Regions from separate parts of the Mus musculus genome. Here all the other regions are reported to be linked to region 4. The links are microRNA targets in miRTarBase. Many come from high-throughput screens and were not tested one by one. Region 4 holds a microRNA gene; each other region holds the end of a gene's coding sequence.
What was found. The annotated mature microRNA mmu-miR-206-3p reads UGGAAUGUAAGGAAGUGUGUGG and lies in region 4 at 3,264-3,285, opposite strand. An mRNA with a match to its seed (bases 2 to 7 or 8) in the 3' UTR can be bound and repressed. Matches are read on the target gene's strand: a 7mer-m8 pairs with bases 2 to 8, a 7mer-A1 pairs with bases 2 to 7 and ends in A, and an 8mer does both.

Region 1 (7,125 bases), not on the chromosome of region 4:
ACTGTGCCATTAGATCTCGAGGCTTAGTGCCTTGCATGCTTCCGCAGATCAGGCTAACCGGGAACCTCAACTCTAATCATCACTTAAGCACATCAGGTTTTATTTTGTTAACAAAATTCTTTTTAAATTGTATTTATTTTGTACAGCTGAAAACAATCTGAATCCTCCTGTTTGACCAGTGATCTGTTTAGCCTGTAAATGGTTAAGGGGTAGCAACCCTACAACCCCTTACTGCCAGTCAGAACCACCAGGGGGCAGTGGTTCCTAGACGCTATAGTTTATAACCCACATTAAATTCTCAACTGGAATGAAAGTTTACAGTACTCAGAACTTACTTGCCTCCCCCTTTCATTTTATTGCTACCGTTAATATAACATTAACTATAAATATTTTAGTTTAAATAGTGAATTTGAAAAATGAAATTAATGATTGTTCTTTTTCTTTTTAAACAGGGCAATAAATGTGTTCATAAGTGCCAACCGGCTAATTCATCAAACCAACTTGATACTTCAGACCTTCAAAACTGTGGCCTGAAAGTTGTATATGTTAAGAGATGTACTTCTCAGTGGCAGTATTAAACTGCATTTATCTGTAAATTTTAAAGTTTGACTGTATAAATTATCAGTCCCTCCGGAGGGACCTAATCCAGGATGTTGAATGGGATTATTGCCATCTTACACCATATTTTTGTAAAATGTAGCTTAATCATAATCTCACAATGAAGATTTTGCATCACTTTTGCTATTATCATTCTTTTAAGAATTATAAGCCAAAAGAATTTACGCCTTAATGTGTCATTATATAACATTCCTTACAAGAACTGTAAATATTGGTGTTTGTTTCTGACATTTTAACTTGAAAGCGATATGCTGCAAGATAATGTATTTAACAATATTTGGTGGCAAATATTCAATAAATAGTTTACATCTGTTAAACATTTCTTTACTTGAAAAAAGATGCATATATATATGTGTGTGTGTATATATGATCAGAAGACCAAGACAACTTGGTATAATGTTAAAGATCTTCTAATGGGAGCTTACTAGCAGTTTATCAAATAATAAAGGAACAAGAATTCCTATTTTTTGTCCTTAATCACTTTGAGCAAAATGTAGTCAGTTAAAATACTTTTGTTAGTTGTTACATATCAAGAACTGGATATTTTTTCACTATTTCCAATCTTTATAGACCTGAGAAGAGAGATGAAGCTACGGGGTCTTCGTACTGTAGTAACACTTCAGGTTCATGACGCTTTCTGAGTGGTAGATGCGGCTCCACGAAATTACTTCTGCTATACTAGGCCCTAATAAGCTTTGCACATTGTCCCCAGAGTAATCACAATTTAAAAAAAAAAAATTCTAATAGTTGTATTGAGATTTTTATCAGTGTTAATATAATATATACTCTTTAAATATGTATAGTTTGTTTCACACTAGAGAAGTTATAAGAAAACTATGTATCGGTATTCATGTTGAGTGATTTGAGTTTTTAATTATAAAATAAAGGGAAAATCAGGTTTTGTTCATGTTTTATAAAGAAATGAAATATTAAAATTTGTTGACAGAACTTTGCTATAAGACAATTTAGTTATTTTTGTTATTTAGTTGTTTTTAGAAAGTGAATTTTTTTAGATTGCTGTCTTTGACAGCATAAAACCGCCCTGTTAAATATAAGTCAGTGTATGAAAGGAAGCAAAGCAGAAAAGACAGATAATTGAACTTACAACCTATGAGTGTGTTCCTAATTTGATTTGTGTTTATTGAAAAGACCATTGCAGAACCATTAATTTAGCATAGGCTAAATATCTTTAGTATTTTCATCAAAACTCAGCATTTTTTGTTGGAAAATGTAAGGAAGACAAGTGTATGACTGGTAGAAGACTCCTAACCAACAGTCTCAACTGCCTTTCTTGTATTTTCATTCCCTCTTAGAAGGTGCCAGCCTCATTTTTATAAGTCTTCTCTTTATTCTGTCATCAGCTGCATTGGCTTCCACTGTAGTGAAACAAACGTGTTCATAAAGAGGGCGGATTCTGAGAGTCCGTTATTTCTACAAATCCTAAAAGATCTGAGGTGAATCAGTAGAGACGGATACGGTTTGCTTCCCGTGGCTTCTGAGGAGGAGAATGGAAGGAAACACATGATTCTGGTGTTTCTATGTTGAGTGCTATTGACAAATGCAGTTAGTACAATTGATCTGTTCAGAGTCCTATACTTAATCATCTTCATTATACTTGAAGAATCAGAAATGAGCTTAGCTGTCAGCTGAGGGCTGAGCTTTTGGTTCACGTCTTCTGTGTGCTCGCTCCACTTATTTTTGCTCCATTGCCAGAAACAGAATGTAAGAGGCTGCTTCACCAACCCCCTTTTTAGTTTACTGGGATACAAATTACAGCAATGTGGTTTCTTTTCAGAAATCCAACGCCCCTTCCATTATACTTACACAACATAACATAGTAAATGATAGGTGGGGGTGGGAGTAGGATGAGGAGCTAATAGCTGTCCTTTTTAATAATTTTGATTTTCCATATGGGAATATCTTCAGACTCTCGGGAAACTTACAAGAATAATAGTTGCTCAAAGAGAAAACTGCATACCTTTTGCCATCTTCGTTGCTTACCCTGCACTCTGTATCACTATACTCTGCATGCTTTGCCTGTCTTATAGCCTCAGTGCTATAAGTTGTTCCTCACTTCACGTTTTCTTACTAGATCCAAGTTATGTACCGTTGGTCCGAACATTGCACTGGTGGTTGTCATGAGGAGGAGATGGAGAGCTCCGATCCATCTCCTCACTGGTGATTCTAGTTTTCATCACTTGGTTGTGGTGCAGTTGTTTTTCTCCAGTGTAGGATATAACTTGGTTTTACTAGTACATGACCTCTGGAAGGCTTTTAAGAACATGCCAACATCTTCCTCTGGGGATGAAGATATGTTGATGCTGTTTGCTCTAATCTAACACTGACTTTCCAATTCTTTTTTTTTTTTTTTTTTTTTTTTTTTTTTCATTTTTTTTTTATTAGGTATTTAGCTCATTTACATTTCCAATGCTATACCAAAAGTCCCCCTTACCCACCCACCCCCACTCCCCTACCCACCCACTCCCCCCCTTTGGCCCTGGCGTTCCCCTGTACCGGGGCACACAAAGTCTGCGTGTCCAATGGGCCTCTCTTTCCAGTGATGGCCGACTAGGCCATCTTTTGATACATATGCAGCTAGAGTCAAGAGCTCAGGGGTACTGGTTAGTTCATAATGTTGTTCCACCTATAGGGTTGAAGTTCCCTTTAGCTCCTTGGGTACTTTCTCTAGCTCCTCCATTGGGAGCCCTGTGATCCATCCATTAGCTGACTGTGAGCATCCACTTCTGTGTTTGCTAGGCCCCGGCATAGTCTCACAAGAGACAGCTACATCTGGGTCCTTTCAGTAAAATCTTGCTAGTGTATGCAATGGTGTCAGCATTTGGAAGCTGATTATGGGGTGGATCCCTGGATATGGCAGTCTCTACATGGTCCATCCTTTCATCTCAGCTCCATACTTTGTTTCTGTAACTCCTTCCATGGGTGTTTTGTTCCCACTTCTAAGGAGGGGCATAGTGTCCACACTTCATTTGCTCCCACATGGACCAGTCAGCATTGGACATTCTACTTGGAAACGAAGTCCTGTTTTCCTGTCCCGTCATTCATTTACCCAGCTATGTGTTTCCACCTAAATTTGGATGTTATGGGTTCATAAGGGTTTGATTTGTTTGTTGTTTGTTTATTTTATATTTTCCTAGTGTTTTATATCCCATACTCTGGTATGCAAATTTTATTTTAAATTTGACAGATAGCTCTTAGGTGGTTCCTGGGCCCTGTGAGTTCTCTTTTCTGTTTGTGTGTCTTGCCACTCCCCCACCTCGCCCACCCCTTAATTAACCCTTCATAAAAGCATCCCAAGATCTGTGACCATCTATTTCTTCATACAGCCAGAATGAAGTTACTAAAAGTTTACACTGTGATCTGGGGTGTTTTCATTGCATCTAGGCCATTCATCAGACCAATATGCCTACATACATACAAATGTATACGTGCCCTTACATGGTTCTCAGAAATGAATTCACAACTCCCAAGTTCCACAGAGCTCTTTCTTGTCATCATCTTTCCATATTTCTTTGCCCTTTACTCTGTAGTTCCAGTCACTTACTTGTCCATCATGGGAGTATAGCCCAGAGTCTCAGAATTTTTCACCTCACTAAACAAGAGGGTTTGTTCTTGATGTCCCAGTGTCCTGCTAAAGATTAAGAATGTTATATTATGCATTCATGAATTAGTTTTTGTCTTTTACTGATTATGAAAATGCAGTTGTTTACTTTTTCAGTTGGCTTGAAGCTTAAGGTGTAGTTGAAAGCCACTTAGGCTTGTTGATTTAATTATTTTAAAGTAAACCGAAGCTTGCCATGCGGGTACAGCTCAGCATTTCTCTGAAACATTTAAAAAAGGAGCCTCAGCACTTAGGGTTTTGCTGTGTTTTCCTCCTGTGTATTTTTTCTTTTATAAAAGAAACCTATCAAAATCCCCCTCCTCCCCTTTCTACTCTTTCCTCAGCATACATGCAGAGAGTAAAACCGCTGCAGTTGTCCCAGGACAAGAGACACAAAATGTTGAGAGTTGAAACTAAAAATGGGCAAACAGAAGGAATTAGCCTTACTTTTTTATTGTTGACAACACGACTGCAGATTAAGTTATAAAGAGATGTATTTAAGCTTAGAGATTTGGTCAGATTTGAGAAGCTTGGATGTCTGAGATGTTTGAGAACCACAGTGGGGCAGCCCGACAGTAACAAGGACTTGCTTTCTCCTTATGAGGCTGCATGTATTCGGCTCCACCCTGCTGCCTACCCATGTCCAGGGGCTTCCCTGCCAAATTGTATGGTTGGATTAAGTTTCCATCCATTTAACAGCTTACAGTGACAAAGTCCCAGCAGGAATTTTGAAAAGGACAAACATTTAAAGCCACAATAGTCATTTTGCCTGCATGTACTTAAGTCTCTCAGGGTTTTGTTTTTGTCTCAACTGTGAAGATCAGACTAGCCTTCTCATTCAGCCCCTAGTTCTGGAATAAGTGCTGAGAGCCAGCACACATAGGGCTTTATGTATTTTCTCTAAAATAGGTATAATGGCAAAGCTTAGCTGGCCCAGGAACTAGTACATCTACCCTTAAAAAGATTAGATTAAAATTGTATCACAAAACACATTTTAGTTGTTCCATTCAGTGATTTTAAAATATGGAGTAGTGCAACCTAAGCTCAGACGTAGAACAGGCATGACTGTGTCATCTCTCAACTCTTCCGATTTCTCATTCCCATCTCCAGGCAAAACTGAGCTGTGTTCTGTCCCTAGAGGTTTTCCGTTTTGGGGCATTTTCTGTAACTATGCATGTCTCAGTTACTGTTCTGTTACTATGGAGAGGCACCATAGTCAAGGTAACTTACGAAAGAAAGCATTCAGTGGGGAGCTTGCTTACAGTTTTCAGAGGGTGAGTCCATGGCTATCATGACCAGAAGCAAGTTGGTTGCCAGGCTGCTTGAGTATTAGCTGCGAGGTCACATCTGATCCACAAGCAAGAAGCAGAGGAAAGAGTTTAGAGGCATGTCAGGGGAATGCATACACACCTAGCTTGACGTGGACTTTTAAAATTTCAAATCCACTCCCAGTGATATTCCTCCTCCAAGAAGGCCACATCTAAACCATGGAACTTCACCAACACATATTGAAATACATGAGGCTGTGGGAGCCATTTTCCTTCAAACCACCACGATGTGGACTGTTGCCTTCTACATCTGCCTCTCGGCCTTCTAACTTAACCATGGCAGCATATGTGGTGTACTTCACTGCTGAGTAGCCATCCATCATGTTTCATATTTTCCTTTACTCATCTAAAAGTGTGTTAGCATTTCAGTTAGATCTAATTATTTTCTGGCTACTATAAACTTAAGTAGACATCTTGCTGTAAGACCTGGATTTTTGTTAGAGGGTATTTAGCAGTGTAATTGCCATTCAGTAATTTGATGTAGAACTTCCAAGTAGCTGTGCTGTTTTACATCCTTGGAAGTAATATATGAGGGTGCCACATTTTCTCACATCTTTATCATGTTAACAACTTTTAAAATTTTTGAGTGCATGTGTATATGTGGCAGGCAGAGGGGTGGGGGTTGTGCACACAAGCTGCCAAGAATATGTATGCTGGTGGTGTGTGTTCGTGTATATGAGTGCATACTCATACCACACATGCCATGCCATGACATACATGCTGTAAGATGTATGTAGAGGTCTTAAGACAACCTTAAATGTTCATCTCTGCCTTCCACCATGTTTGATATGGGTTCTTGTGTTCTGTTGTGTACAAAGCTGACTGGCCAGGATCCTACCCTGAAGTTTTCTGTTTCCATCTGCCTTCTTGGTGTAGATACCCTGACATGACAGATGCCCAGCACTGTGGTTTTACTAAACACACAACCTTACTCTTGCCCTGTACCGTTCCTCAACCCACAACTTCTTTCTATTACAGGTATTCTAGTAAGTGACGTGTTTTTATTTATTAACTATTTTTGGAGTGGAAGGATATTTTGTAGTACAGGCTACCCTTGAATTCCTGATCTTCCTGTTCCAGTCTCCCCATGCTGGAATGAGTATCAGGTGTACACTGCCAACTAGAAGTGGCTTTAATCCTCTCTCTCTCTCTCTTTCTCTCTCTCTCTCTCTCTCTCTCTCTCTCTCTCTCTCTCTCTGTGTGTGTGTTTGTGTGTGTGTGTTTAACAATGACATTAACATTGCATGGGATCGTTATTTCCCATACATACTTTTGTTACTTTTTCATCCCTTCAATAATAATTCCATATAGGTTAACAGAACTTTAGTATTTTTACGCACTGTTCCATTATACACCATAGTTTATCTGATCAGTCTGTACGTGGACATGGAAGTGGTTCTTAGTATTTTGCAAAACTACATGGCTTTCCAACACTGCTTTGTTTAAGTTATATCATTAGAGTAGTCTGCAAGTGGAATAATTGCATTTAAAACTATGCACATATGTAATTTGTTACTGTACCAGTTTCCAGTCCATGGTGTTGGCATTTCACATTCTAGC
Region 2 (7,125 bases), not on the chromosome of region 4:
ATATAAGATACAATTTGCAAAACACATGAAACTGAAGAAGAACGAAGACCAAAGTGTGGACACTTTGCCCCTTCTTAGAATTGGAAACAATCACCCATGGAAGGAGTTACAGAGACAAAGTTTGGAGCTGAGACAAAAGGATGGACCATCTAGAGACTGCCATATCCAGAGATCCATCCCATAATTAGCCTCCAAATGCTGACACCATTGCATACACTAGCAAGATTTTGCTGAAAGGACCCTGATATAGCTGTCTCTTGTGAGACTAGGCCTGGGCCTAGCAAACACATAAGTAGATGCTCACAGTCAGCTATTGGATGGAGCACAGGGCCCCCAATGGAGAAGCTAGAGAAAGTATCCAAGGAGCTAAAGTGATCTGCAACCCTGTAGGTGCAACAACATTATGAACTAACCAGTACCCCGGAGCTCTTGACTCTAGCTGCATATGTACCAAAAGATGGCCTAGTCGGCCATCACTGGAAAGAGAGGCCCATTGGACACGCAAACTTTATATGCCCAGTATATATTCCCAGTACAGGGAAATGCCAGGGCCAAAAAATGTGAATGGGTGGGTAGGGAAGTGGCGGGGGGGTATGGGGGACTTTTGGGATAGCATTCCAAATGTAATTGAGGAAAATATGTAATAATAAAAAATATTTTTAAAAAGAAACATTCCCTGCTCCAGTTGTTGGGGGACCCTCATGAAGACTGAGCTGTAATGTATATATGCAGAGAGAGAGAAAAAGAGAGAGAGAGAGAGAGAGAGAGAGAGAGAATATCAGAGGGACAGGAAAGAAGTCACTCAACACCCCTGTAGACAGAGAGGAACCTCTTTGTCCTTGGTGGCCAGAAAGGCAATTTGGACTTGAAGCTGGGGTGGCAAACTGGAGCCCACATGTACACATAAATACATAGCACATACATTAACATACAAAAATATGCATATGCCATATATATGGATACACTCATGTACACACAAGTACACATACACATGGTATGTAGATATAAATACATACACTACATATACATATGCACCTATCAAATATGTATTCATGCACAAGCACACACATATACACAGGCACACAGCACACAGAGCTGAATGCACACACAAACCGTGAAGGTGCCAGGAGGCAGGAAGGAGACAAAACTTTCATCCTTGCTACCCTCATGATAGGAGCCTTCAGTTGTTACACTGCTCCTAACTTTCTGACTTGTCCTTTCTGAAGGTGGGGAGGTGGGATAGGGACTCCATCACTTGCAGTTTTTAAAATTAGTTTTTTATTTAGAGTTGCTTCTATTAGTTGGACTGCCTCAGACTTTATTGTCCATGAAATTTAAAACTGTTGCCTGGCTGTTTGCAAATGAAGCTATCCTGTAAAACTTTACACACACACACACACACACACACACACACACACACACACACATGCCAGCTCTGTGCCTGTTGGCAGGTCCAGGCTGAGAGGAGAGAACCCGTTCCAGCCAAGTCTCTCCTGGGGGCTGAAGTGGGATGGTGAGTGTTGATCTCCTGCCATCCAGAGAATAACCACATGGCGTGGGGAGTCTGTCGAAGCAGGAACTCATTTAATTGTATCAATCTTTTTGTTTATAAAGGGCTGAGAAAGGAGGTGGGGGGTGTTGCTGAGCTGACAAAGGGGTAGGAGAAGGGTGACAAATGGGTGACTGACAGAGCCAACAAAGTTATTTTACATCAGCAGTAGCTAGGCAAAGGCAGGCTTAAGCAGGCCATGCTGAGTCACTCCAGTACAGAAGTGACTGAGACAGTTTTCAAAACTCGAGCCAGGCTCAGGTTTGTCCTCAAGGTCCAAACCAGGGCAGAATAGGGTCCAATACACACACACACACACACACACACACACACACACACACACACACACACACACGCTATTTATGTTTCTAGAGAAAAATATATTTAACACATTTTGGTTACACCACCTTTGGGTTGCCTGCATTCCTCCACAGACTTAACCAGAGCCTTCTGGAAGTTTCGCTGTGTCAACCCAGTATTACTAGGAGGTAAGACATCAATCTCTCGGCCTGAAGCTGCTGTCTGGGCAATAGTTCTCATGGATCTGCCTAGGGCCCCAGTGCTCACTATCCCATTGCATATTTTAGAAATGGCACATGCTCCCAGCAGCATAGAGAAGGTAATGGGAGCTGCTTAGGACTCAAGCCACCACCACAAACCACAAACACTTTAGTCAAGGCCTCTGTGCCCAAGGGTTCCAGATTGAGCTGGAGGGAATCAAAGATTTGCCATCTGTAGAAATACCTACCTCGGTACTGCCAGGGTGAAGGGTATTCACTGGGCTACACTGGGAGAGGATAGGACGGATGCTGGTGCCGGCTTGCCTGTGGGTATGAGCATCTCTGAGCATCTCAGAGGATCCCCATTCTGTCTCCTTGTTCTGTGAATGTGAACATGGGCATCAAAGGGCCTGAGCTACTCAATCAAGGAAGGTACATGCCTAGGGCATCCTGGTGATGTGCACTTCAAATGGCTTATCCTTTAGGGAGAGGAGCCATGCACCTGCTAGGCAAAGCATATTTCCTTCCTTCTTCACAAATGCACTCTCCATTCCTTGATCCCTGGACATTCCCTGTCCACCCACACCCATTGTATACCTCACCCAGCTCAGTCCTCCCCAGAAACTGACTTATACACTAACCCTAACCTCAATGAGCTTACAGGGCATCTGGCTTCCAGCTAGGGCTGGTTCAGGGCAGATTCCCATGGTTTGGCTATGTCCCTCCAACAACCACAAGGCCTGCTCTATACAGGTCTAGCCAACTCTACTGCCCTGCCAGTCCTCTCAGGCCTTCTCGTTTGCATAATCCAAGGACACCAGAGCCTTTCCTTGTAAAGGCCCTTGGTGTGCTCCATCTTGCTCAGACTTTGTTTATCATCTTACCCTCGCCTTCTTCCCTTGCAGAGCCACACAGAGAAGAAAGGCTCCCCATTGTCCTCAGGGACTGGCATCACCACTTCAGTCCTGCTGCTCTAAGTCAGCTACATGAGGCCTTGGAAAGATCAGGCAAGTTCAAAACTAGCCAGGAAGTCAAGTGGGGTCATTTCCTAGCCAGGATTCAATGGAACAAGGCTTTGGGGGACGCTCATTTAACTAGATTTGCATCCCTATCAGTCATTCATCACCAGAGACCCTCTTCTATGTTTTGGAGAAACGACCTTGTCTATGTCATTTGCTGATTGCCTCCTCCCACCCCAGCCCCCTGAGCCTGCCTCAACTGTCTGCAGAGTGAAAGACACTTTTACCACATCAGCAAAACACCACGTTGAGCTGAGAGCTGCCTTGAGGTTTGCAAGATCCCTAAATAGAAACCGGTCGACTGCAGGCTTTCACACTGAGGGAAACACAGATTGTGTTTGGTGGAAGAGCCCATGACATGTCAAGGTCATTTACAACTAACTATCTCTCTCTCTCTCTCTCTCTCTCTCTCTCTCTCTCTCTCTCTCTCTCTCCCTCCCTCCCTTCCTCCCTCTCTCTCCCTTCTTGCCTCCCTCCCTCCCTCCCCCCTCCCTTCCTCACCCCCCTCTCCTCTCATTCTCTCTCATCTCTGTCCAACAGAGTTTGTTTCAACAACAAAAACCTGTCATCTGACTGCGTGTACAGTACTAGTCATGAGTGACTATCAACCACTTGAAATGGGCTGATGTAGCTGAGGGAAAAGATCTTTTATCTCGTTTCGTTTTTTAAAACTTAAGTTTAAGTAGTGTTATGTGGCTCTGCAACAAGCAGAAGCACTGAGTGACAAGGAATGCCATCTCGATCCTTCATTGAATAATTTCACAGAATTCACTAGAATCTATGGTTAGGTCACAGTTTCCTCCATGATGAAAACCTGCCATTTTAGAAGGAAACTTCTTGAGACAGGATGTTGACTGGAGGGTCAATCTGGCAGTGAAACTTTTAAGACAGGAAGTTAACAACTCAGAATAGTTCCAAGGAGTCCCTGAAATTGATCAGATTCACCAGGTCCTCCTTCCCATGAGTATACAAGCGGTAGAGACTGCTAAGAGTTACTCTCAGAAAAGCTGAGCTGCCTGCAAGAGGCTCAGATAAACCCAACAACCTGGAAAGGGCACTTTGTAGCCTCTTGAGCTGTCTGTGGGTGATGCAGTGAGTCTCAAGTTTTCAGATCTTGTGAGCCATCACCCACGCTGAGGTAGGCTTTTGTGATGTGGCTGTCCCAGAGTGATTTCTGCTCCTGTAAGTAATCCTTCCCCCATATTTCTGTAAGTAGCCCCAATAAAACTCATTGGTCCCCCAAGTTGGATTGTGGTGCTATCCATACCTTGGTCAGTTGTAGGTTCACTATCTAAGGTGAATAGACATTTATTTAGTCTTCACAGGAATAGTCTTGACATATGTCAAAAGTCAAATTCTACCTTATCAGTAGCATAGTTAAACATGGGAGTGATTGCTAGCCAGCAGAGAAATCTGTACCAACCCATTTGTATCACAAAATAATGGTCCTGCCTCTGGGTTAAATGTGAGTGTACCATATGCAGGCGGTGAAATTCATTGAGCATACCTAGATGTAAAAGGGATTTGGAAAGGGCAGAAATTTCATCCTGAATCCTAATCTCCATGTTAATTTTACATGGGACGAGAAGGTCTCCTAACTTCCTTCTTGGAATTACCACCCAAAATCTTAGCATTGAGAAAGGCAGCACCAGGGCTAGAGAGATGGCTCGGTAGTTAAGAGCACTGGTTGCTCTTCCAGAGAACTCAGGTTCAGTGCCCAGCATCCACATGGCAGTTAGCAGCTAGTCTTTAACTTCAGTTCTAGAGGATGTGATGCCCTCTTCTGGCATCCATGAGCACCGCACACATGTGATACACACACATTAATGCAGGTAAAACACCCATATACATAAAATAATAATTTTAAAAGGCAGCACCAATTCTCATCCCTCCCTCACCACAGGTATCTCCTCACACAGTGGACAGCAGTTAATACAGACTCATAATCAGTCCACATGCAGAGAATAAGGGACTGTGGAGTGCTCATCCTAAACAGGCAACTGTATCATCCCCTCGCTGGCCAAGGCTCAGGAACCATCACAGAAGAGGGAATAGAGGGACTGGAAGAGCCAGATGTCAGGGAAGACTGGTAAAAATCATTGCTTTCTGGACCCAGCAGGACCACTGTACTTATAAATTCACAGCAGTGATGACTGCCTGGACAAGGCTTGTACAAGACCAAGCCAGTCAATATCACAGCATGGAAGGCATCCAGGACAGTTTCATGTCAACTTGACACAAGTATGATCATCAGAGAGGTGGAAGCCTCAATTAAGAAAATTATCTCCATGAGATTAGGCTGTAGACAAACCTGTAGGGCATTTTCTTAGTTAGTGACTGACTAACTAAGAGGAGAGGACCCAGTCCATTCCATCCCTGGGCTAGTGGTCTTGGGTTCTATAAGAAAGCAGGCTATGCAAACCATGAGAAGCAAGGCAGTAAGCAGCATCCCTCCATGGCCTTGGCATCAGCTCCTGCCTCCAAGTTCCTGCCCTGTTTGATTTCCTGTCTTGGCTTCTTTTAGTGATGGACTTCAATGTGGAAGTGTTAGCCCCTGGTAAGTTGTCCATTTTCCAGTGGACGGCCCCCCACAACCATCCATATACAGCAGAACTGGTTGAAAACGAAGAGGGCATGAAGTTGGAATGGGAAGTTGGGAGGTCTGGGAGGAGTCAGAGGAGGCTTTACTATCACAGAATGGATAAAAGCACATTGTGTCCACCTATGAAATTCTCAAAGAATGAATTAAAAATACAATGAACGAAAAAGATAATACAAGGTGTTTGGCTTTTCATTTGTTTATTAAATAGTATATGTCTCTCTCCAGTTCTTTCATGATGCTGGCAGAATGTGAGCTTTGTCCCTCATCAGGCAGAATCCACGCCTAATTCACCTACAACTGTGGTGACGAGGATCAGGGCGCACATGGGGATGACTGTCTTGCGGAGAGCATTGGGACCTGTGCACTGACACTGCCTCTCCTCTTACTGCATCCCTGAGCTCCAGCTGCCAGTTACTTACAAGATGCAGTTGAGTCTAGCTGTTAGGCTCTTGTTTCTGTAATAATGTTCAGTAACATCCCTAGCTGCGAAGTACACATAAAGACCATATTACCATGATCTCAGACAACAGAAGCATTTTGAAGGTCGTTGCAGAATCTATATCTGCCCTTCGTTGGATCGGCAGGAGTGTCAAGTCATGAGGAATGCCACCATGACAGACACTTGGGTTTTACTCGGCCACCTTGAGGAATTCACCAAAATCATGACACATCTCAAAACCAAATACTTCTTGGAATACAGGGAAACTGATTCCTCCTGTCACTATTAACCATCAGCTCCGGTGACTCCGATGCAGACTCCTTGGCAAAACTGAGACCCAGTCTCAGGATACGGAAGAGAATGGCATTGACTTGGTGGATGTGCACCAAGTACAGTCATGAGAAGTCTTTATTACACTAAAGTCACATTTCTGACCTTCTGAGGACTGGCGATGTCAAAGGAAACCCGTGGATGAGTTGCTGGACCGGGCTGATGTTTATTGAGTTCCTGGTAACAAAGGTAGAAGGGTCAGTGTGCTAACTGGCTGGGCCCCAGGCACTGTGCTCGTCTGAGAGACACTAACCTGGGAAGATGCACTGGGAACAAGGATGAGCAACTGTACAGAGACATGCCCTCTCCTCCCTTTTCTTCAGCAACACACGCTCTGGGTGCTTTCCAAGCCCAAAGAGCAAGCTCATTCTAAGAATCCAAGACTCATTTTTACCAAATCAAATTACAGATGCAAAGATTTTATGTTTTGCTTTGTTTTCTAATCTCCTCATGGAAGTTCTTGCTTTACCTAGTAGGTGTTTTTTTCTTTTTAAACATAAGATATTTATGAACATCTTCAAATAACACACACATTCCTTCTAAAAGAGCAAAAGCAAAATGGAAGTGCTGAGCTGAAAAACACCACCCCCGTGTCTCCTGTGGCATTGTGTGGCGCTGGTTTCTCATTCAGAAACCTTCTAAACTAACCCTGGCTCCTCTACAAGGCCAGTGACATCATCCCAAGA
Region 3 (7,125 bases), not on the chromosome of region 4:
AAAAAAAAGTGCTGACAAATCTAGATCTTGTGAAATAAGTTAATCAATATGAATTCATGAATTTTTTTTTACTGAGGTGGATTGTCACATTCTCTTGAGTCCTTTGAGGAAGTTTCTGGGTATTCACCCGGGCAGGGGCGGGGGATGCAAGGTAAATACTGAGGAATTTTTACTGTGGCTGCATTCTTTGGCAACAGTTCAATGATATTTCTGAAGTAAACGTTAATAAAGGCAAGAGCAGAAAGAAGACCAGTAAAGACAGACTTCCTGTAGAGTATCAGGAAACCAACTGTGCTAGGTCCTGCAGACAGTCCCCAGTTTAGCCGTGGTGGGCTGGAGACTCTTCTTCACGATAGTTTTATTGGGACACCATTCCATATAAATCAGGAGCATCTGGTCCTTTACTGAGGTGAATTATGCCCCCCATGCCCCCCGCCGATCTGAAAGGATGTGCTGAGAGATAATTCATGCCTTTCCAAGTTAAGGGACTTTCGTAGTAAATAGTGCGCTTTCAGAGGTGGATTTACCAGCAGATAAACCTGTAAAAATTCTACTGTCAAGTCAAAGATGAATTTCAGAGAATGTGTAAACTTTGATAGAGGTAAACATAATATTTTATTTGATCGATGAGAAACTCCACTCCAATGCTTCCGAGCAAACTTCCTCGCCTATTTGTAACTTTGTGTTATGTGTTGGAATTTACGATAATTCTTTGAATGTACTAAGCCTTTTCCATTACTACGCACATGCAATCTAACTCACTGCAATCCTGCCTGTTTTTTCTAATTGCTGCATCATGGTGTATGTGCGCAGGCACTTGAGCAACTAGGTCCTATTGCCTTTGCTGACTTACTTATTCCCTCTCTTTGAAGGTGAAAGTGTGGTTCCAGAACAGGAGAATGAAGTGGAAGCGGGTCAAAGGGGGACAGCAAGGAGCTGCTGCCCGAGAAAAGGAACTGGTGAATGTGAAAAAGGGAACGCTTCTTCCGTCAGAGCTGTCAGGAATCGGTGCAGCCACCCTCCAGCAGACAGGGGACTCACTAGCAAACGAGGACAGCCGCGATAGTGACCACAGCTCTGAGCACGCACACTTATGATACCTACAAAGACCAGCTCCATTCTCAGGAAAGCACCATTGTGATGGCAAACCTTACCGAACATCGTTTACATGGCAGATGTCTGTGGCAGTGTGGCTTAGTATAATTAAATGCAGGCATCTCGAGTCTGTGTCTCATGATGGATAGACGGTTTACACTAAGTGCCTTTTATTGAAGATGCTTCCACAGTGAAATTGGAGAAAGCGAACGTATTCCAAATACACTTGTTCCTATATATGACAGAGAGGGAGATGGATGTTTGCTTTGGCTTGCACTGAAAATTAAATTTGCTACCAAGAGCAAACTTGATAAGACGTTTTTACTCAAGATGTCTCCAGAGTGAAGATGTTAAAAATAAAAAATGCTTTGAACATTCCAGTTGTGCCAGGTCATGTGTGTGACACTAGGCAGGTATTTGCTTTTGCTTGCACTGAAAATTAAACTGCTATCAAGTTAATCCATGAAATAGTTTATCTTGAACAGCCACAGTGCCTGAAATCACCAAGTGGATATAAAATGTACTGAAACTCTGTATATATTACCCCTAAGTCATTTTTCCTGTCTTCACTAATTTTAGCAAATGCATTCATATTAGCTGATTAAAAATAGGCTTTTCCATTGACAAACACAGCCAGCTTCTTGTATTTTTATACATTTGTGTCAGACAGAGAAAATCAGTATGTGCTTACTTGTGTTCAAGTAGATAAAATGCAGTAGAGTCTGATAGGACATATCCTTGTACCACAGACAAAGCAAATCTTCTGTTGCATTGACTATCAACTGCTGCAGATACATTAGAGAACATACCTAGCTCCCCTCCAGCCTTCTTCTCTTATATCTTGAAAGACATTAGGATCATAGGCAAATCAGTTACCTTGCAGAACGAGTCTTGTGCGGCAAATGTCTGATTTTACATCTTTAAGTTGTTAATGTTTATGGGTCTGATTCAATTAACAGGGAAAAGCTTTCTTCCTCCTTGTTTATGATATAAAACCAAGTGCCAAACAAAGCTAATTCTTCAAGAGAATAGTTGAGAAACTGAATGTCTGACAATTAGACTCTGAAAGTGCATTATTTTTCATATGCTCTATATTCATGCAGAACAAGTTCTTGTATTTTGTAAAAAAAAAAAGATAAATAAATGATCCTTGAAATAATTATTGTCTCGCCACTGTGACTTCATTGGGTTTGGTAGATTTATTCTTTTATTTGGGATCAAGGCTGGTCTAGATGTCATTAGGTGACTCAGCTTGGCACTGACCTCTCAGCAATCTCTTGTCTCAGTCATCCAGGTGCCAGAATCATAGACTGGATCAACCATGTCTAGTTAATTTTAGTAGATTTGAAAAAAATAGATGCTTAAAAAGATTCCAAATTGTTTGCTTCTGTGTAAATCTAAATGGATATGAGTTATGAAATAAGATTCATAATTTCTGGTTTTTATTATGGCATAAAATTTGTAAGAATAGGCATATATATACTGAGCAATGTTAGGTAAATGAAATGGAAACATATTACAGGAGCTATAGGTAATGCATGGGCATTAGCCCAACACTTTTAGTTTATACTTATCTAACTTTTCAGTACTTAGTGAGAAACCCAAAAACTCACTCGCGGTAGATATATGCCCTACCATTGAACTCCCTGACCAGTCTGCAAATAGATGCTTCACGTTCATGATCTCTAGCTTTGGTGTGAAATATGAGATGAACAAACGTAAAAAGAACCCCACTTCTAACAGACATTGTTGATAGAAGAAAAATAAGGTGTCTCATTGCACAGCCAGTGTCACATCTAAGAGGGTGTCAGGACCTTGGATGACAAACCCCTGTTATTATCACTTTATCACCTTGCTTTTGGTTCATTATTCATTTGACTCAGAAGGAGTCAGGAATATTACCAGTCCTCACTTATATTAAAAGAGTAAAAATTCGACCAAATAAACAATATGTGATTGATGAATTTTCTTTAGAATGATTAAACTAGTAAAACACGTTTAATTTAATTTATCCTAATGTGATACCAATAGTATTCAGGGAAAAAGTCACTTTTTTTTTCATCTGTGCAATAATTTTCATCTCACTATAGAACAATATTTCTGAATTAATATGGACAAATATATCATTTTCATTGTCATAAACATATTTTCTTATCAATCACTTGAATGAATATAAAGTATATTTGTGTTGCTAATATATACTTTGGTGGGTTGACATTTTTTATTTTACAATTGAGTTCAAAATGAAATATCTTGAGAAATTGGGTAAAAGAAAGATACAAATCAAATTGAATTCAATTGGAAAAGGGTATGAAATAATTCATTTAGGCATGAAAATAATGAGAAATTGAAAGTTAGACGTAACCAAAGAGAGCAATAAGGTTTGTTGTGAAACTAAAACACTTATAAATCAGACTTAGAGCTTATTATGACCAATACAATCATTATAATGGTAATTATTCTACATACACAAGATATTCACAAATGAAATGAGGCAAGAGTAGGATGGAATATACTTCCCTGTGAATAATCCTAAAATGAAAAATTGATTCCACAGAAGCAAGTAGGGAAGGTCATATGTTGATCAAAAGGACAAGTTGTTGACATGGATTCAAATGATCCACTGGAGACAGAAGTCAATTGCTGAGTATCAAATTCAGTACTGTCTATAAGGTACATAAATTCCCTAATATTGAGCTACATGCCCCCCCCAGACAATAATTGGAACTTAGTATATTTTTCAGTATCTTAGTATTTGCCTACCTTGAAAATGATGCATAAACCATATAGACTTCGTTCTTTTCCTGGAATTTAAATATTTTAGGAAAATTAAAGTATTGTGAAATATCAACTAAGATCTTCCAGACCTGTTAATGATCAAGATAAAAGGGATTGTGGAAAGGATGGATGGATAGATGAATAGATAGATAAATGGATGGATGGGTAGATAGATAGATAGATAGATAGATAGATAGATAGATAGATAGATAGATAGATTTCTTCTTCATGATATGATATTTTATTACATACTGCCCTGGATTCTCATGTAATTCCTTCTCAGAGCCCATGAGTCAGAATAAATACACTTTCCTCTAGAAATGACATTTAGGTGTGATGATCAGGGTGATTTCCCAGCAGGGCTCAGAGGAATGAAGGAATGAATACTGCATAGTTTCTGCAAGCCATCAACATGACTCCAATTAGTTTTTACTTCCCAAAGTTACTCAGAGATTTCTGCAGATTTGATCCCAAATGCCATTATGAACATGGGTTTTTAAGTTAATTTTATTTACATTATTTTTGTCCAACAATAGCTGGGGTAACAAAATAATCTTTTTTTTTCTCTCGACAATTTGAACATTTTTTTTTCAGCTCTTACCGAATGCAGTTAAACAAAGTGAACAAAAAAATAAAAGTGAAAAAGAAAAATGATTGCCTTACTAAATAATGAGGCACTAGAAAATGTTAATTTAATTTTTAAACTTTCCTTTTTCTTTGTGTTTGTGATTTTCTTTTTTATTATTTTTTTACACTCCAGATTTTATCCCCACCCCCAGTCCACCCTCTGACTGTTCCACACCCCATAATTCCTCCCCACTCCCCTGTCTCAGTGAGGATGTCCCCACCCCCATTCTCCACCCCACCTGACCTCTAAACTATTTTCTATTATCTATTTCTATCATGCATTTTATAATTATACTTTGACAGTTAAGTTGCTTTAAAATACTTTAAACATATGCCTTATATATCTTATTACTCTTTTAAAAAGCTGACCTTGTTTTACTCAAGTCTAATTTCAATCCATAATAAAAAAAATCCAGAAAAACTTCTTTTAACATTACAAAATATTCAGTAATATCTTGACAAAATACAGTTTGTTTTCTAGAGACAATTTTCATATAAGAAAATGTTTCATATGTCATTTTATCACAATGACTTCATAGTATAACTGCTATATCTCTTGGTATGGAGTAGGTTAATCTACAGCATTCTTATATTCAGGGTAACATAATTTCTCCTTTGTAAATATAAGTCTAGGGATGAACATACATATTTTCTTTAAATTTAAAGGTAATCATAGAGCTTAGATGTGCTTATATTTTCTTGAAATTATGTACACCTCTTTTTAACATACTAGTAGATGAAATAATTTATTATAGGTTTTTTAATTTGGTGGATATAGGTTTTAAATAAATTATGACTTGCTTGAGTTGATTAAATGTTGGATACGAACTGTTATTTTAGCTGAGCTATTAATACTTGTTATTGACTTTCATTTTTTTTAGTGTAGAATCCACTTTTATTTGACTTTTCCTGCATTAGAGTATGGAATATTTCATGGCCAAATATATGTATATATGGTCTAATAGATTGGATTAGTGATTAAAAAATAGAGAAAATGTTGACAAAGTCTGTGTTCTGTCCTCTGAGCAATACCTCTGCAGCTGAGAAAACACTGAATTGTAGATTGGAAAAACTAAAAAGACACTTGGTAAGTATCTTGTGGTAATCTTTCCTTGATTGCAGTGCAAGCAGACATAACTAAGAGTGTGAGGTTAAACTGTACTATTACCCAAAACATTATGTTTTAGAAAGATGAGAAAGCAGGCATATAGATATCAATCTTGATAATAAAATTCATCATTTAATGAAAAATTTCTAGTATATAAAAATTATTGCTATAATAAAATCTGAGTAGGAAAAATTAGAAAATTATCTGTCCCTTATAAACATTCTGGCTTCTGAATTTCAAAATATACACCTTAATATTGAAAACAATATTTATTTTATTTTTGTCAATTTAAAGTTTTTAAAATTAATTTATTCTTTCATATATTACATCTTAAACACAGCCTCTCCTCCCGCCTCTCTTTCCAGTCCCTTCCCAATGACTTCTTCTCCATTTCCCCCCAGAGAAGAGTAGGCATGCCAAGGATATCAACCAAACCAAATCAAGTTTAATAAGACTAGGTACCTATCCTCATATCTAGAATGGAAAAGGCCCTGATGAGTCCAGGTAGGCTGATGCTGTGGGTTTTTTCTTGTGGTATCCTTGACACTTCTGGCTTCTAAAATCCTTCCTTCCCTTCTTCTACATGATTCACTGACTCTCACCTTATATGTGACTGTTGGTTTCTGCATCTGTTTCTGGATAGAGTCTTTCTGATTGTGATTATGGCACCCTCCAGTATATAAAAGTAAGTTTTTTCTTTTCTTTTCTTTTCTTTTCTTTTCTTTTCTTTTCTTTTCTTTTCTTTTCTTTTCTTTTCTTTTCTTTTCTTTTCCTCTTCTCTTCTCTTCTCTTCTCTTCTCTTCTCTTCTCTTCTCTTCTCTTCTCTTCTCTTCTCTTCTCTTTTCTCTTCTCTTCTCTTCTCTTTTTTCTTTCTTTCCTCTTTTTCTTTTTCTTTTTTTGGTTCCCAGGCATATTTGTATTTGGTTCTATCCTAGGTCTCAGGGCAATCATGCCTCTGTGTTCTGGTTCACCAGGCAGTGTCAGGAACTGGCTCCCTCTTGTGGCATTGGTCTCAATCTGGACCAGTCATTAAATTGCCACTCAGTTTCTCTGCCACCTTTCCCCAGCACCTCATGCTGGCAGGACATATTTCAGGTGGAAGTTTTTGTGGGTGGATTGGTGTCCCAGCAACTGCACTGAAAGTCTTGCCTGGTTATGAGGAATGGCTTATTCAGGCTCTGTATACCCCATTACTAGGATTAATAGCTATGGCCACCTAATAAAACCCTGGGAGTTTTTGTTGCCCTGGGCTTCTAACTTGCTTTGGAATGGTCTTCCAATTCCAGGCATCTCTCTCATCATTCTTTATCTTCATTTAACTGCTCCTTGATTTTTCTCTTTCCACCTAACCCCATCCACTCATAATATCTATGTGATATCTATTCTATTCCACCCTCCCAGAGAGATCTATGCACCCTCCTTGAGTTCTTCCTGTTACTTAGCCTCTCTGCTTCCATAGACTGTAGCATTATTATACTTTATATTGTAGTTAATATCCACTGACCAGTGAGTACACA
Region 4 (7,125 bases):
TTCTTGTAATTTAGATGTTTTTCTTTATAGCTTTTCTCATTTATGCATGTTCTGAATCAATATATTTTAATATTATAAATATTTATCTGTGGCATTTTAATTTTACCTTACATGATATCTGTAAGGCTCATTCATATGAATATGGTAACTACAATTCACTAATTTACATTGTTTGACAGTTTTTTTATTATTTAAATATATTATATTCATTCCTTCTCCCAGTAATAGCTATCACAGTCCTTTGGTTTGAAAGAATGGGTGGAACTGACTTTAGTAGAGTCTATCGAGGGAAACAGAGGCATTTTTGGTTCTTGTAGATCATGAAGAAGTCTGGATTCCAGTATGTAAGAACTTACAAGTTGACCTTTTAAGCGAAAAGTAACATTTACCACCCTGACATACCCAGGAGTGGGGTCCCCAAACTCATGTACCCTGCTTTCCCAGTGATTCTGAGGTATCTAAAGTTTGAGAACCATTGAATAGAAGGGGTATCCTCTGCTTTCGGCTTGTTAGTAGTAAAGTGAGATCAAGTGTAGGTAAGAAGGAAAGGCTCCCCGAAAATATGGCTTGCTATCTCCATAAGGTATTGGCATAAGGAGAGGAAAGATGTAGGCCGAAAAGATAGTTGAGTGCTTGCAGAAAACCAACTTTCTCCTTTGGGGCTAGTTACTGGCTAACATGTTTTCTTCTTCTTGATAAATAGAAGTCATTGAGAAGAAAGTATGGCCAGGCAGTGGTGGCACACACCTAAAATTCCAGCACTTGGGAAGCAGAAGCAGATGGATCTTTGAGTTTGAGGCCAGCCTGTTCTACAGAGTGAGTTCCAGGACAGCCAACACTACACAGAGAAAGTCTGTCTCTAAAAACAAAACAAAATAAAACAAACAAAACCATCCTGAAATTTTCTGGGTTCAAAATCCACTGATGCATTCTTGATTTTATTTATTTATTTATTTATTTATTTATTTATTTATTTATTATTTATCTATTTATTAATTATTTATTTGATATTGAGAATTTGATACTGAGAAATATCATATAATGATGTTTGGTATTGAGGTGTTAAGTAGCATCTTGACAGGTCAGCATGTTTGTCTATACTGTGGAAAACATGCCTAGTTTGCCTCTTGTGAATTTTGATAGTAATGAAGGGTGTTCTAAGTTCCTAGGGTACACAGAGGAGACTAGCAAGGCTTGTAGGAGAGTCTGAGGGGCAATTATGCCTGCCTCTGAGGCCAAAACTTCACTTTTAACTCCATCTTGCCTAGAGAGTGTGCCCCATCACTCATCAACAAGAATTTATACTTATCTGTGAATGTGTTAAAATCCACTGGACACGTTTAGAAGTGAGGTAGCCAGGTGCCTGGCTTCTTCCAGATGGACTCTAGTTAGAGAGGCCTGTCTCGAATCATCAAGGTACCTCATACTTTAAAGCACCCAACAGGGCACTGCAGAAAAGGCAACTGGATAAAGGCACACCTATCATGTATGAATGTTGTGATGAGAGAAATTAGCATTACAAAATACAGTGTGACTCTAGGATAGTACTAAAGTTCCTCTGTGTCCTGGGCCACACCTCCTTGGTGTGAATCTTCTTGGCTTGGCTGTCACAATCTTACCTTCTCCACTGTCCTTTTTCTAATGATAGGCGTCTTGTGACTCCTGCCCTCTATCTCCTCCCATGTCTATCTTGTCCACAGCTTATGTTAGGGAACAAGAAGCCAGGCAACTGCAGGGGCAGAGACAGCCTGGCTGTCTGAGATTATTTCTGAAAAAGAATTCTGAACACAGCTCCCCCAACTCTTTCCTTGTGTTTGCCCATGTCTTTTGATCCAGCCTCAGCAACACAGCCATCTATATAACATATCTCTGATTTCAGAACGACATGAAACCAAACACCAGGGTAGAAAAAAAAATCCATGGGCTAGTTAGAAAAAAAGATAGGCTGTCAATGGAAAGAAGTTCAGTTTGAAGCATCAGATATTTTATATAAAAAAGACTGAAGTCTAAAACAGAAAGGACAGAGATTTTTTTTCCTGGAAAATGCCAGTGTCGGACACCATACTAATAAATACAGGTTTTCTCGATCTTCACACATTGACATTTTGACCTGGGTACTTCTTTGCTATGGAGATGGTCTGTACACTATACATGCTTCGTTGCACCCCTGGTCTCCACACCCTAGACACCAGGAATACCCTAAGTGTGACAACAATTTTTCCAAATTACCCACTTCCTGGGAACTGATCCACAGTGGTACGATCCTATGCTCAGTCCTCTAACTGGCCCTTCTCTATTAATCTCCCCCCATCCACCACCCCTGTTCCACACTCTCACCTATCCCCAGAAGAATAGGGTGGCATGCTCATGATGGTAGCTAGGGAACTACCTGGTTCCTGAAAGAGGGATGTAGTGGTCCCCAGTGTGGCTGCATCTCACTTGGGAGTATGAACACTGCCCAGTGTGTTCGGTATGCTGATGTTTTTGAGGGTCCAGGAAATACACATATCCTTTATCTTCCTTTTTTGCCATTCTGGGCTTCTGGGCATGGTGCCAGTCTTCAAATGCCATGGTGCTTCATTTTGTTTTGGGTAAGAGCTCAGGCTGCATGTTTAATGGAGTCTTAGCCTGCATCTGGCATATCACTACAGCGCCTCTTCTCGGTTTCCCTCTAGAGTCTACCTCCTTCATGACATGAGCTTAGACACTAGAGTCAGAACTGGGAACACAGGGCACTGGGTTGAGAACAAAGGAACTTAGGCCACTGAATGATTGCAGCACTATTTTAGGACCCCCATCTTTCTTCAGACAGTGTGACCCAGAAGCAACACACTGACATGGGGTTGTGAAGTAGAAAGAACAGCAGCAGGGCCAGGAGATGTGGAGCCTTCTACCAGGGTGGTGTTCTTCAGAGCCCAGTAGTTGTATACTCTCTGTTTATAACACAAGTCACACACCTGGCACCATGAACTATCCCTGAGCTTGCTTGGTAGAAACATCCATTGCAGGAGCCATATGAGCAGAGGAAGGAACTAGGACCCCGGGAGCTGATTCCCTGAGAGTAGATGTGAAGGATGTTGGTATAAAGGGGCTAGGATGGGGAGCATAGTTGACCTGAAACCCAGTATTGTGGGAGAAGTCTGTAGAGGTAGATTTCTGGGGAAGAGGGCACCTGCAGGTAAGAAAATGTAGCCAAGGAACGAAGAAGTCAACAGCATATTCTCTGGGTGGAGCCATCGGCCTTGAAGAAGCACTTGCCAAAACCACACACTTCCTTACATTCCATAGTGCTGAGATATCTATGAGGATATAAAGAAGCATGTGGCCTGGGGAAGCTGTGTCCTCCGAGGCACTTGTCACGCAGAAGGAAAAGCTGCTTTCTTCCTTGCACAAGTGAGAAGTGTGAAGAATCTCTGGGACCTGACTTCATCCATTCTACACTCCCAGAAACTATCCTGGAGTAAGGTGCCATCTTGGCCTAACAGGCAGAGCTTGTTGGGAACAAATTTCCCCCTATACACTTCAGTCTGAGATCAAGGACCCCAAGGCTCCCCCAAAGGCCACTAGAGATTTCAGCGTAGTTATGGCCAGGCAACCTGTGTTATCACTATAATTACCAGGGTGCAGGTTGCAGGGTGGATTTGAAAATGCTTCTTTTTCTTCTTCTTCTTCTTCTTCTTCTTCTTCTTCTTCTTCTTCTTCTTCTTCTTCTTCTTCTTCTTCTTCTTCATCTTCTTCTTCATCTTCTTCTTCTTCTTCTTCTTCTTCTTCTTCTTCTTCTTCTTCTTCTTCTTCTTCTTCTTCTTCTTCTTCTTCTCCTTCTCCTTCTCCTTCTCCTTCTCCTTCTCCTTCTCCTTCTCCTTCTCCTTCTCCTCCTCCTCCTCCTCCTCCTCCTCCTCCTCCTCCTCCTCCTTCTCCTTCTCCTCCTCCTCCTCTTCCTCCCCCCTCCCCATCCCCCCTCCCCTCTTCCTCCTTAATATTATGGAACTAATAGAACATTAAAACAGGGGTAACATGTGGAGAACTGCTCAGCTTAGAGGCTGGCCCAGGCGCTATTGTACTTCCTATTTGGGTTGCTTGGAATATGCTGACAGGCTGCAGCTGCCAGATGAGCATTCCAACACAATTGTTCATTGTGGAAGGGATCTTTTTTTGTTCAGCCCCTGCTGCTCGTGGCCAATCACCTGCGTCACAATCTGTGAGGCCTGGGCTGTAGGAGATGAATGGACACTGGCAGCTGTTGAGCCATTCAGGGTCTGACTGATCACCCTGGATGGGGAAAATTAAGGGTTTGAACTTCTTGGCATAGAATTCTCTGTCAGGAAATAGAGAAGCAAGCTAAGAGGAGAAGAAGGGTCCCGAACTGGCTCATAGCTCTGTGAGGGCTGCTTCATACAATCAACAAACAATAATAACTTTTTAATAATAATAAAAAGTAACTTTTTTCAGATAAGTTTTATATGACAGGATCATTTTCAATGTCTTCCCTATGCCAGCTCTTTGAATCCTCATATCTATGTGAAACTGTTTTACCCGCTTGTTTCTGGTTTTACACATGAAGATATGGCTCTAGAAGTGAATTAAATTACTTATATGCAAATGGAAATTATTAAAAAAAAAGAAAAATCAAACCAGATTGGAAGAACAGCCTTGGATCAGTCCAGGCTTTCTTTATGAGAGCTTGGAAGGTAAGAGGTGTTGGGAAGGAAGGGAGGAAGGAAGGAAAGAAGGAAGGACACAAAGGTTTTATATTCCATTTTCATCCTTCTGCAGTTTTGAGCTTGGTATGCTGGTATTGCATTGATTTAGAAGTCATGTGTGTGTGTGTGTTTCCCTCCCTTAGGTGTGTAGGAAAATGATCCAGGCATACTAGCATACTAGTCAAAATCTTTCTGCATGACACAGGGAACAATCCAGTAATTCACTTAATGTAATCTATTGGCTGTTTAAGATTCTTTCTGCTCTGAAAGGATACCATTCTTCTTGGATTAAGCATAAGCTTTATGTAAGGGAATCTATGGCCAAACTTCCTGCACATTTGGTGGATTGGTCTATCCAAAGCACAGTGCCAGGGACAGATAACTCTGTAGCGGGCTACTCAGGTCAAAGGAGATGTTGTCTTCTCTCAAAGATGACTTTGAGACCAAAGTGTGGGCACTTTGCCCCTTCTTAGAAATGAGGAACAAAACACCCATGGAAGGTTGAGACAAAGTTTGGAGCTGAGACAAAAGGATGGACCATCTAGAGACTGCCACACCCGGAGATCCATCCCATAATCAGCCTCCAAACGCTGACACCATTGCATACACTAGCAAGATTTTGCTGAAAGGACCCAGATGTAGCTGTCTCTTGTGAGACTATGCCGGGGCCTGGCAAACACAGAAGTGGGTGCTCACAGTCAGCTATTGGATCGAACACAGGGCCCCCAATGGAGGAGCTAGAGAAAGTACCCAAGGAGCTAAAAGGGTCTTCAACCCTATAGGTGGAACAACAATATGAACTAACCAGTACCCCCGGAGCTTGTGTCTCTGGCTGCATATGTATCAGAAGATGGCCTGGTCGGCCATCAGTGGAAAGAGAGGCCCATTGGTCGTGCAAACTTTATATGCCTAAGTACAGGGGAATGCCAAGGCCAAGAAATGGGAGTGGGTGGGTGGGGGAGGGTCTGGGGGACTTTTGGGATAGCATTGGAAGAGCTGGAGAGATGGCTCAGTGGTTAAGAGCACCGACTGCTTGCTCTTCCAAAGGTCCCGAGTTCAAATCCCAGCAACCACATGGTGGCTCACAACCATCTGTAACAAAATCTAACTCCCTCTTCCGGAGTGTCTGAAGACAGTTACAGTGTACTCACATATAATAAATAAATAAATAAATAAATAAATCTTTAAAAAAATGGCGGGAAGGGTTGTAAGATGGAGAACATAAAGACACACGCTTCCTTGCGGTTGACAAAGAACGTTGATAAAGAAACTGTGTGTTACGTGTTTCCAGATCATTTAATTACTTTATGTTAGCCTTTATATTATTATGCCTTTGATGGGTGGTGTTGAGGAGACTTGGGAGACTAGGTGTGTCATCCAGTCACTTGTACATTGTGTTGTGTTGGTAACACCCACCTTTCTCCTCATCTATAGCCAGATCCCAGGATATTTATCTGAAAGTAGTGGTTGAGGAGCCCCATCTGCCCACCAAAAGGTGATTGGTGATTAATGAGATACCACGTGAAGGTCTTGAGTGTCTTAAGAGAACAAGCTAATGATAATATGTCACTCAGCACGATACTGAAAACAGGGTTTATTCTCCACCACCCAACTCGATCCCACAATTGACTAATTCATAAAAGCCTCCAATTCTAAGGTGTTCTTCCCTCATTTCAACGAAGCAAGGGTATTGAGAAGCATCAGGACTTAAGCAACAGTGAAAGTGGTGCCAAAATCATAAGCAACAGCCGTAGTTTTTCCTTTCCTTTCCTTTCCTTTCCTTTCCTTTCCTTTCCTTTCCTTTCCTTTCCTTTCCTTTCCTTTCCTTTCCTTTCCTTTCCTTTCCTTTCCTTTCCTCTCCTCTCCTCTCCTCTCCTCTCCTCTCCTCTCCTCTCCTCTCCTCTCCTCTCCTCTCCTCTCCTCTCCTCTCCTCTCCTCTCCTCTCCTCGTCTTGTCTTGTCTTTTTTTCCTGAGCTGAACATTTGTGTAGTAGAACACAAATAGTACAAACACTGACTTACAAGGACATGAGGATGGTGAATTCCTGGTGATAGTCTTTGGAACATTTCTGAGATTTTGAGAAAATTGGGAATGGTTTGAGCCAGGGAGAAGAGCAGATTACAGACCAACACAGTGCTGTAATCTCCAAGGTTATTGGATGCAACGGGTATGAGGGTGAAGACCGGGACTTGATTATAGCCTCAGTTTCCTTATTTGAAACATGGGAACAATAATGCTTATGCAACAAGAAACTCCAGTGAGAGACTTTTGGGAAGTGTAAAGTGCTGTGAGCATGTATTAGTTTAAAAAATTGTTTTATTATTAATAATAGTAGTATTTAATATCTTCCTTACTAATTCAGTGACTAGGTATGCATACCATGTGGGGCTTTATGCATGACCTACTTAAAAGCCTTTCATTTACA

Region 1: miRTarBase lists Pdcd10 as a target of mmu-miR-206-3p. Seed matches in the 3' UTR shown: 7mer-m8 at 805-811.
Region 2: the mRNA of Igsf5 is a reported target of mmu-miR-206-3p. The part of its 3' UTR that is shown has no 7-base or 8-base seed match.
Region 3: miRTarBase lists Meox2 as a target of mmu-miR-206-3p. Seed matches in the 3' UTR shown: 8mer at 1,468-1,475.

Annotation. Positions count from the first base shown.
Region 1 is chr3:75,510,929-75,518,053 of GRCm38, reverse strand. It overlaps Pdcd10 (programmed cell death 10), which reads left to right. Exons shown (of 8, transcript NM_019745.4): 8 at 453-1,564. The coding sequence ends at 534. Among named protein-coding and RNA genes, the nearest start is that of Pdcd10, 42 kb to the left of the region's middle.
Region 2 is chr16:96,402,757-96,409,881 of GRCm38, reverse strand. It overlaps Igsf5 (immunoglobulin superfamily, member 5), which reads right to left. Exons shown (of 9, transcript NM_001177887.1): 9 at 5,851-6,616. The coding sequence ends at 6,521. Among named protein-coding and RNA genes, the nearest start is that of Gm32358, 20 kb to the left of the region's middle.
Region 3 is chr12:37,177,281-37,184,405 of GRCm38, forward strand. Meox2 (mesenchyme homeobox 2) reads left to right here. Exons shown (of 3, transcript NM_008584.4): 3 at 873-2,254. The coding sequence ends at 1,097. Among named protein-coding and RNA genes, the nearest start is that of Agmo, 61 kb to the right of the region's middle.
Region 4 is chr1:20,675,215-20,682,339 of GRCm38, reverse strand. Mir206 (microRNA 206) reads right to left here and starts at 3,330; the gene lies at 3,258-3,330. The region is part of intron 2 of Lincmd1 (long intergenic non-protein coding RNA of muscle differentiation 1); the gene reads right to left.